Linked DNA regions of Caenorhabditis elegans. The protein of the gene in region 1 interacts with the protein of each later gene in a biochemical or structural test. Each region holds a gene or a part of one and is shown in the gene's direction. Other genes may lie near its edges. The genes, in order: pgl-1 and let-363.

Region 1 (5,270 bases):
CGTCGGATTCAGATGATGAACAGCTTTACATTTCAAATATTATGGCAGCCGCCTCGTTGAGTAGAGTAAGTTTTTAATTTATTCCACACTATCAATTTGAGATTTTCCAAACATTCAATCATAAAAAATTCAGGTTCCTGCAAAGTCTTCCAGTCGTAAATCAAAGAAAAATGAACCAATGATGATGTCGGGAGGCGGTGTTCGAATGGCAAAGAAAAAGAAAAGTTCCAGATGTACAGTATCTTGATATACTTGTCCAAACATTTACTGAATTCCTGAAAAGCCCATGTGATTCTTTTATACTTCTTCTTCAATTTTAAGCCTTTTCCTTCGTTTTTTTCTGCACGGTGAATTGTCCCATTTTATTAATTCAATATTGAACCTATTTTTAACACCCAGCCAACAGTGCAAGTAATGTAAAACTTATTTCAAATGAATATTCACTTCTCATTTGTCCGAATTCCAACACTGCTTCAATGAAATAAATTTATCTGAACTGGATTTGAATGTTTGGTCCATTTCAAAATAATTTATTACGCTACTTTTTTCTAAATCTACGAAACACCAGACTTACAGTGAAAGAAAAATAACTCAATCAAACAGATGAAACTATACGTGAAGAAGATAGATTGATATCACACAAGAGAAGACAAAAGCACGACAATCAATGAAATTATAAAAACAATGGCTAAAAATATAAAACAAGAGAAACATTGCACATGAGTGAAAACTTTTCGACTAGTCCTTATTCTTCTTCGTAATGCCCTGACTGAGACCGTAAGGGGAATCTCTGGAAATTCGTCCCTTCCTTTTCGATTGGTTTGCCATGATTGACATATTTGGATTGAGTGTGGTCGTTTTATCCAGATCGAAGTCTTGCTTCAAGTATTGTGAAGCAGCAAGCATTTGAATTTTGTGATGACCGCCACACACGATTCCAATAGATGCTTTCCTAATATCCTGATTCAGCGTATAGAACATAGGACTCAGCAGATAGCCTTCGGGTGTATAGTCTTTTGGAGCTTCTTAAAATAACAGTTAGAAATAGACTAAAGCTGTGAATGTAACCTACTTTCAGTGTACGAAACACGGAAACTCGCGTCGGACCCTTGAGGAAGCGGCTCCATTTTCTTGATACACCGGTGAAGTTTCTTGATTGTGCTTGCAAACATTTGTTTCGTGTTGTCGGTATCAACGAATTTCGCCTGTAACAGTTCTTGACTGCTTTCGTTCGTGTCGATTCCGCTGAAAACAATTGAAAACGAATAATTGAATAAGACCAGCAGCTTACTTATTTAGAGATACGAAAATCTCTCCTTCATCTCCATAAGCAAACCTGAACGCAAACACTTCATTAATGTCTTCCTCGTTTGGCTTCTTGTAGAACACGATTGCGAACTCTCGCAAATAGCCTTGTTGAATCGCATCTCTCAATCCGTCGAATGTTGAAGACACACGCTTTGCGGCAGGAACACTGCTCTGGAATGCGGTGACCAACAGTTTATCTGTATAAAAATATTTGTGATACATTGTAAAATAAGCCATACCTATTGTTCGAGTTTTGAAGCATTTTTCGTCCAAAATGCCACGGCGATCGAGAATGAAGGCCGAAGCACATTTTATGTAGCGAAGCGCAAACATTTCAGAATTTTTTTCAATCTCTAGATCAACGGGAAACGTGGCCTTCCACTGGCTGGCTATAGGAATTTCAGACTCGCGGTGCTCAACAATCTGCTCTTTCGTCGCCATCGCAAACCTACAATTACTGAAATATCATCGTGAAACAAATTAAAATGTTTAAAAAATAATATCTATAAAATCTATAACAAGTTAAACATATTATTTAATTATAAAACCCCGCATTGATTAAACATATTTTGATTTGAAAAAAAAAACTAGAAAATAGGTAAAATAAATCTGGAAATAGTTCAGAAACTTAGAAATTATTAAAGGCGCATGGAAGTTTCAGATCTACGGGTCTCGAAACGAACAACTCGACGCGAACGCGGAAGTTGCAATTTCGATCTCGTCCCAATTTTCTTTTCCGTTTTCTTACTTTTTTGGGTAAATTTTGCGTTTTTTTGAATTCTAATCTCGAAAAATTTTTTAAAAATTTAAATATTTATTTCAGTTTCATCCATTTCACATGGAGGCTAACAAGCGAGAAATTGTGGATTTCGGTGGGCTGAGATCCTACTTTTTCCCAAATTTGGCCCACTACATCACGAAGAATGACGAAGAACTGTTCAACAATACATCTCAGGTTGGACTATAATATTTAAAGACCGATTTTCTATTATTCAATTTCAGGCCAATAAGTTGGCTGCTTTCGTGTTGGGAGCTTCCAAAGACGCTCCTGGAGACGAAGACATTTTGGAGATGATCTTGCCGAACGACGCTAACGCTGCCGTTATTGCTGCTGGCATGGACGTTTGTCTTCTTCTCGGAGATAAATTTGTAAGTGTGAATTAAACTTATTGTAATCAATTATAACGTTTTAGCGTCCGAAATTTGATGCTGCTGCTGAGAAATTGTCAGGATTGGGACATGCTCATGATCTGGTTTCTGTCATCGATGACGACAAGAAGCTCGGAATGCTCGCCCGTAAGGCCAAGCTGAAGAAGACTGAAGACGCTAAGATTCTTCAAGCTCTTCTCAAAGTAATCGCAATCGATGATGCCGCCGAAAAGTTTGTTGAGCTCACGGAACTTGTCAGCCAACTGGATCTGGACTTTGATGTTTATGTCCTAACTAAAATCCTCGGACTTATCTCTGAGGAGACTAGCGACGAGGTCGACATTATCCGTGATAACGTCGTCAACGCATTTGATAGCTGCAAGCCGTTGTTGAAACAGTTGATGTAATTGTTGTCCTTTTCAAAATAATTCGATTTTTTTTTTCAATTTAGGTTGGATGGTCCGAAATCTGAACCTGCCGATCCATTCATTAGTCTCCTCATGGATCCACTCGAAGAGTCTGTTGGGAAAGTTGTGAACCATATCGCTCAACTTTTCGAGGAAGCGAGTAAAAATGAAGGAGACGAGTCACTTGTCTTGAGATCTCAACTCGGATATCAGCTCTTTTTCCTTATCGTTCGTTCACTTGCAGATGGAAAGCGCGAGGTTTCCAAGAAAATCCTCTCTGGGATTCCTACGAGTGTCAGAGCGGAAGTCTTTCCAGGATTGCAAAGAAGTGTCTACAAGAGTGCGGTGTTCCTCGGCAATCACATCATCCAAGTTCTTTTAGGATGTTAGTATTTTCGTCTTTGTTTACTTTTAAAATCTAAATATTTCAGCTAAGAAGTCTTTTGAGGATTGGGATGTTGTTGGAGTCGCGAAAGACTTGGAGAGCGCCTGGAAAAGACGAGCCATTGCGGAACTTATCAAGAAGTTCCAAGTCTCAATTCTAGAGCAATGCTTCGATAAGCCCGTTCCACTGGTGAGTTAATGATTCTATAAACATTACTTACATGACCGTTTTTCAGATTCCTCAGAGTCCACTAAACAATGATGCGGTGATCGATAATGTGAATAAAGCTCTACAGTTTGCACTGTGGCTTACAGAGTTTTACGGATCCGAGAATGAGACTGAAGCGCTGGGCGAGCTTCGTTTCTTGGATTCCACTTCAAAAAATCTTCTCGTCGATAGCTTCAAGAGTGAATATTCCTTTTTTTATCTCCTGTTAACTTTTTAATTTCAGAATTTGTTCAAGGAATCAACTCGAAGACTCATGTCACTCGAATTGTTGAATCACTGGAGAAGTGTTGTTTGTCCGATACACCAAGTGGCAGAAAGAGCAATGTGCAACCATCCACTTCCCAACAGCAGGATTCCGCCTACACGAAAGAGGAAATGACGACGGTTCACAACACATACAGCGTAAATACTAAAGCTCAAGTTCTCAACGGTCTCAGTGATACCAATTCTTCCGGGTTACTTGTCGATTCAAAGGATTCACTCAGTCTTCAGGAGATTTCTTGTGACGAAGTGGATTCTTCGACTTTGCTAAGCTCATCAAGAAACATTGGAGAAGGTGTTACTGTAAAAGCGGTCGATCCTGTCCCAGAAAAGGTTAACGATGCACAACAACAGCAAACAGTTAACGAGATCGAGATGGCTTCGGATGCCAATCAAGATACTTCTTCAAGTGCTTCGCCAGAAGTAGCGCCAAGTTTTTCCACCGATGGCTGGGATTCTCCAACGAAATCAGTAGCTCTGCCACCGGTATCGCGTTCATCGTTTCAGAATTATAAAAATATTTCTTTCAGGGCATGCAGCAGATAGATGAAGAGGAAACCACAGTTGCTGACAAAGATTCTACACCACAACCACAAGCTCGTGCTGAAACTGCATGGGGGTCAGGCGACGCTACTCCAATGCCTCTTCCTGCCCCGACTAATCAATACAAAGTCAGTGGATTTGGGGAAGCCAAAGTTGCAAAAGGATTCGGTCAATTTGCTCCCACCAGTTCAGCTTATGGAGGAGGAGGTGGTCGCGGAGGATATGGCGGTGGAGACCGTGGAGGCAGAGGTGGATACGGCGGAGATCGTGGAGGTAGAGGTGGATACGGCGGGGGAGACCGCGGAGGACGAGGTGGATACGGCGGAGATCGTGGACGTGGTGGTTACGGGGGTCGTGGTGGACGCGGAGGTTTCTAAACTCCAACTATTGAATGTTTAATTTGTTTTTTAAGTATACACTTCTTGTATACTTACACGTTTTACGCACATTATTTATTCTAACAATCTTGTTGTAAAATCCCTAAAACCTTGACTGTCATTTATTATTTATTCAACCTGTTTTTCCTTGTTCCCGGTAAATGTTTGAACTAGATTGTTGCAAGAAATTAACTCAATTAATTACACGTATATCTCTTTCTGCGGCTTGATGAGAAAAGTGATGTCTGAATCGACGGTGCCGAATGATTGGTGGATCATAAAATTAACAGGTGGCACTGCATGCATTCTTATACAATTTCAACTGATCTTATCATACATTTACGCATATTAGAGTTGTAAATCGTTATGAGACATCTGCATTCGAACATAACAAATACCGTATTTCTTCTATTAATATGGCTGCAATACTATTTTTCGATGGTCTTCCCGCTTGCAATACTAATAGGGAATGCAAGACTATTAGGGAGTGCAATACTAATTTTCAGAGCATTTTCTGACTTTGAGCTTACTAGTTTTTTCCTGAAAAAGCTCGAATCATATGTAAAAATTCAGAAAATTTGATTTTCATATAAGTTCAAAAACTTCGATCTC
Region 2 (4,913 bases), on another chromosome or scaffold:
AATGACCGCATTTTTTATTGGGAGATTTATTTAGTTTTCGTAATTTCAAAAATTAATATCTGACTTAAATTGAACTTTTTTGAAAATGTTTCTTCGGGGACTTGTTTCAAATTTTAAGCGCTTTCAAAATTTAATAACAAAATTTTTCTAGGTGCCAGAAGCTTCCAGTTTAATCAAAAAAACTGACCTCCAGGCATATAAATGACCGCATTTATTTATTGGGAGATTAACTAAGTTTTCATAATTTCAAAAATTAATATCTGACTTAAAATGAACTTTTTTGTCGAAGAATTTTTTCAAGAAATAATTACTTGAAGTTAATTCAATGTTTTACTGAAAACCCATGTTAAAAGTATTAAAACTTGCTATTGAAATTTTATCTAGAAAAAACTATTTTTTGAATTACCTCTGCTATGGGGGAGGCAATTGTGCGGTGGAGCGCACTTGCCGCCCATTTATTATTTTTTGGCAGCAAGGTTTTCTCCAAAATATTCTATTTTTTAATGTTTTCTTTTGTTTTTATTGAATATTTTGCTCTTTATATATGCAAAATTTTGATTTTACCAATTTTCATTCTTTGAGGTTCTTCAAATCTACAATGTGGCGTAGTTTACCGAGTTTGGTGTCTTCGGCTGTTCGGTTAGTTGATAAATCGAAGTTTGTTGAATTCCAGTTAATTTTTGCTTCTTTTAGATCACAAAATGCCGTCAACACACGATTTTCCAGTACAATGAAACAATTTTTCGATGATGAAGCGAATTTTGGAAAAGCAGAGCTCCGCCCGAAACATCGGCCGGGCAGATCGTGGACAGCAGAAGAACTGAGATTAAAAAGCAATTCAGATTTGCATAAGCTTTGGTAATTTAATGGCAATTCGGTTTTAAATTTATTAAAAATTTAAATTTAAGGTATGTGTGCTTGAAGGAGCGAAATATGCTGATAACGATGAAAAAAGCGCACACTTCACGTGCCCGGAACATGCCAAACCCAGAGAGACTTGATCGTGTTCATGAGGTATATTTTAAAAATTTAATAAATGCAAAATGATATATTTCAGACAATGGATCGTATAGAATCAGTAGTTCACGAGCGAAATGATGCGGTCTTCCGTTTGGAAACTGGAGAATCCGCGGCTCCACGCAAGAGAACAATCACTTCATTCGCTGGATTTACATATCAGTGAGTTCCTGATAAAATTAATTTTTTTAAAATAAAAATATGTTCCAGAAAACAAGCCACAGAACACTTTGCACCACCTCAACTCGGCCAGAAAGAATACGAAACTCCATATCTCGACGACGATGCCTACGTGATGCAGAAGCTTTGGCAGGAAAAAGAATTCATGAAAAATCGAGATAGATTGGATGATGAGAAGAGACGAGCGGCACGAACAGAAGACATGGACAGATTCAAGAGAGGAGCTCCACGAGTTTTCAATCGATAAAAAGTTGTTTCTAGATATTTTTTTTGTTTTCGAGTAGGCTTTTAAAAATGTTGTTTGCTTTGCTTCCTTCCTCAGTTTATTTAGTTTTTCAAAGAATATCCATTGTTCTTTTTTCTTGATATTTTGAAATATGCAACGGGTTTTGTCAGCCCATAGTTATCTGATATTACAAAAGGCTCCGTGTTGTTCTCATATTTTTCATTGAAAATCCCTTGATTTACATAGGAAAAAAAACCTAATTTTTAGCTGAAAAAAATTTAAAAAGTGGTAAAAAATTACCTGAAAGTTGTCTATTATCGAACTATCAAGCTATATTTTTCTGAAAACGGCCAGTTTTGAGCACTTTCTTGATTATTTCAGCTGGAAATAATTTTATTTTCGGAAAAAAACCAGTGATTTTCTATGCTTCTGATCATTCTCATAACTTTTTATTCTTAACGTAATTTTAAGCCCACAATGCACTAAATCGGCAGAAACATCTTTGAAAAATGCTCCAACAACACGGAATTAGTTTTCAAATGAATGCCGATAGACAGAACAAAGCAGCCACAACTTCCAATCGAATAGTCTCCGCTCCAGCTACAAATGAATTTGACGAGCGGCATCGTAAAGTTAGTATTTCTTCTCCTTTAAACAATTTTTAAGGAAAAAAAAATCATATTTCAGCAAGGGATTGATGCTGCAAGAGCTCTTGCTTCACAATATCGGAGCCGAATTACGGAAAATAGAGATGCAAATCAACGACAGGCTGCTCGAGAACTCAGCAGGTAGTTTTTTTTTTAAATAAAAGTCAATAAATTAAATATATTATTTTCCTCAGATATGTTCGAAGTGAGCTGAAAGACGAGCCAAATACTTTTAGTGATGCTTTCCTGAATGCAATCGATGGACGAACAGATATAGCCTCTCAGAGTGCAATTTATAATTGTATGAAGTCGAATTCAAATATCGATCAGAAACGAGCCGGTATCTATCTCATCGTGTGCTTAGCTGAAACTCATTCTGGAAATGTTATTCGATATGCGAATTATCTTCTGAAAATGTTAAATAATGGAAATGGATTAGATGAAGATACAGTCAAGATGGCTTCAAAAGCTCTCGCTTTTCTGATTGCGGTAAGTAATTTAATTTTTTTTAAACCAATTTTAAACATTTGCAGACTTGTAAATCATACGCGGCCGAGCTGGTTGATCGTTGTCTTGATCATTGCCACGAATGGCTTGGTCAAAATGTTCCACATAGTCAGCAACCCAAAAATCAACAGGAAATTGATCAAATTCGTCGACTCGCCGCTTCACACCTCTCTCGTGAGCTCGCACTGGCCACACCGACAGCATTCTTTCTTCGTGTAAACTTATTTTTCAAGTATATCTTCAACGCTGTCAGAGACAAGAATCCAGCTGTAAGAATCGCCGGAATTGATGCATTACACGTGGTTTTGACAATTGTTTCACAGCGTGAAGCAAAGAATAAAACTGAGTGGTTTAAGGTGATCAATTAAAATTTTGATCTTTCGTTAGAATGATTTTATATTCCAGAAATGTTTCGATGAAGCACTGGAAGGTCAACCAAACCCATCGCAAAAGGACGATTTGGATAGATGGCATGCCGTCGCCCTGATTCTCAATGAACTTCTTCGAATTTCTGATCAACGATTCGAACTCATCAGATGTGAATCCTCACAGTTTATTAAACAAAAGTTTTTGAAAGAAGACGAAGAAGAAGGTGTTGAATGGCTTGTCCTAACTAAGTAATCGATTCTTTTTCATCTATTTAAAAACTTGTATTTTTAAGGCAACAAACTATTGTGGAAAGTGTGACTGCTCGAAAGCTGGTTTTGGAACGATTTCCGAAGGTAAAAGCTGAAATTCTTCATTTCCCGAAATTTGTTATGTTTTTTTCCAGATACTCGATTGTGTTCGTCAGATAATACCTCTCGCAAACAAAACTTCATCCACGAAACAGCAAAGCTCGATTTACCTGAATACAGTTCTCATGCAGCTTCTACCAAGAATTTGTGCATTTCCACAATGTGATCGAACTTTTCAAACAATCTCATTCGACACTTCATTTACTATGTACGTAGAATGGAAGAGGACTGATGTTTATGGGCTTTTAGCTTTTATAGACTCGAAATGCGCTAAAAACGAATTTTGTAACGAGACTCAAAAAAAATTATGGTGATTCAAAATTTCCAATAATGTTCAATTTTTTCAGTCTTCAAAGAAATGCGGTCGCTGCTCCAGCAATCGGAATGATGATGCTCTCGAATCCAGATGTACATGCCACACATATCGAGAAAACAATCAGTTTTATCTCTGCTGCTATCAAGTAAATTTGAAATTAGTACACTTTTTTTAATAGTTAAATTTTGTAGAAAAACGACGAATTCTGATGTTCTCGATAATTATTTCACATTCCTGTTCCTATTTGTGGATGCTTATCACGAACAAGTGACGACACAAATCAAGGCAATAATTCCACAATTAATGGATATTACCCTGTCTCGATCGCTGGCAAACGTGCTAAAAATGATTATGATGAGAATTCCGAAACTGCGGCTGAATGTTCAAGATGGTGTTATGGCTTCTGTCTATCAAACACTCACTGGATCTCTAATTCCACCAAAATCCGAACCGATTGGAAGGCCTGCGAGTCCTAAAGCTATTTTGCAGGTTTGTTTCGTAGAGAAATTTTATAATTTTGCTCGAAGTAATTTTTTTGAATCTGAAAAGCACATAACATTTTTTAAATAAAGATCAGAATCCCATCAGATTTAAAAACGCTTACAATTTTATCTTTTTTGAAATAATTTTCCGTCAAAGTTTCGACATTTTTCTATATTCGAACCAAGGGCGTCGTTAAAAATTTGTATGATTTTTCGCTTTTTTCAGATATGTTCGAAAAACAAAAGACAGAGAAGCTATAAATTTATCGAAATTATCTTTTGAAAAATAGAGAAATGACCAGAAATTTTTCGAAATTTTTGATTTTTGTTTCCAGAAATCGTAAATTTAAAAGCCGAAAAATCGAAAAAAAAACCTAAACTTTGCGGGGTTTTCAAATATTTTCATAATCAGCAAAATAAGAAAATAGAAATGGCGACTTTTTAAAATTTAAATTTTTCGAACAGATTTCCTATGATATTTTATCATGTTAGCATTAACAATGGTTTTAAATATATTTCTCATTGGCGATATTTCTGTTGTGCAAAGAAGTAAATTCAAAAAATCTCAAATGAGAGTTTTGGGGTTGTATTTATGCAAAAGATTTATATTTCAGAAAGCAGAAACCGATCCAAAAGAGCTTCAACGAATCGTGCTGGCTGTCGATGTGCTCGGTGAATTCTATTTCTCAAGAGGTGCCTTGCAGAGAATCATGCAATACGTTGCAGATGTACGTTCGAAAGTTTTCTCGATTTTTCTGTAATTTTGTGGTTTTTCAGTACTACTTGACAGCGGACAATGTG

The links.
Region 2: of the proteins of pgl-1 (region 1) and let-363, one has a biochemical effect on the other in vitro, tested with the Caenorhabditis elegans proteins (one study listed by BioGRID).

The regions. Positions count from the first base shown.
Region 1 is NC_003282.8:6,974,005-6,979,274, reverse strand, and holds pgl-1 (Guanyl-specific ribonuclease pgl-1), read left to right. Parts: upstream 1-1,956; coding exon 1,957-2,064; intron 2,065-2,131; coding exon 2,132-2,263; intron 2,264-2,310; coding exon 2,311-2,457; intron 2,458-2,501; coding exon 2,502-2,860; intron 2,861-2,908; coding exon 2,909-3,249; intron 3,250-3,295; coding exon 3,296-3,438; intron 3,439-3,484; coding exon 3,485-3,656; intron 3,657-3,700; coding exon 3,701-4,224; intron 4,225-4,268; coding exon 4,269-4,658; downstream 4,659-5,270. Other genes in the region: prkl-1 (LIM zinc-binding domain-containing protein), read left to right, coding at 1-65, 134-247; him-3 (HORMA domain-containing protein), read right to left, coding at 739-1,025, 1,073-1,245, 1,292-1,505, 1,548-1,749. UniProt on the Caenorhabditis elegans protein: Guanyl-specific endoribonuclease which cleaves the phosphodiester bond in single-stranded RNA between the 3'-guanylic residue and the 5'-OH residue of adjacent nucleotide, resulting in the formation of a corresponding 2',3'-cyclic phosphate intermediate.
Region 2 is NC_003279.8:5,243,849-5,248,761, forward strand, and holds the start of let-363 (Target of rapamycin homolog), read left to right. Parts: upstream 1-1,894; 5' UTR 1,895-1,932; coding exon 1,933-2,055; intron 2,056-2,110; coding exon 2,111-2,211; intron 2,212-2,264; coding exon 2,265-2,559; intron 2,560-2,603; coding exon 2,604-2,933; intron 2,934-2,982; coding exon 2,983-3,194; intron 3,195-3,238; coding exon 3,239-3,299; intron 3,300-3,349; coding exon 3,350-3,522; intron 3,523-3,661; coding exon 3,662-3,775; intron 3,776-3,821; coding exon 3,822-4,119; intron 4,120-4,726; coding exon 4,727-4,840; intron 4,841-4,889; coding exon 4,890-4,913. Other genes in the region: mrpl-47 (Large ribosomal subunit protein uL29m), read left to right, coding at 545-639, 694-858, 909-1,014, 1,058-1,179, 1,228-1,444. UniProt on the Caenorhabditis elegans protein: Serine/threonine-protein kinase that regulates the mRNA translation machinery, probably by modulating the activity of translation factors such as eIF-4G and eIF-2. It may have some protein kinase activity instead of lipid kinase activity.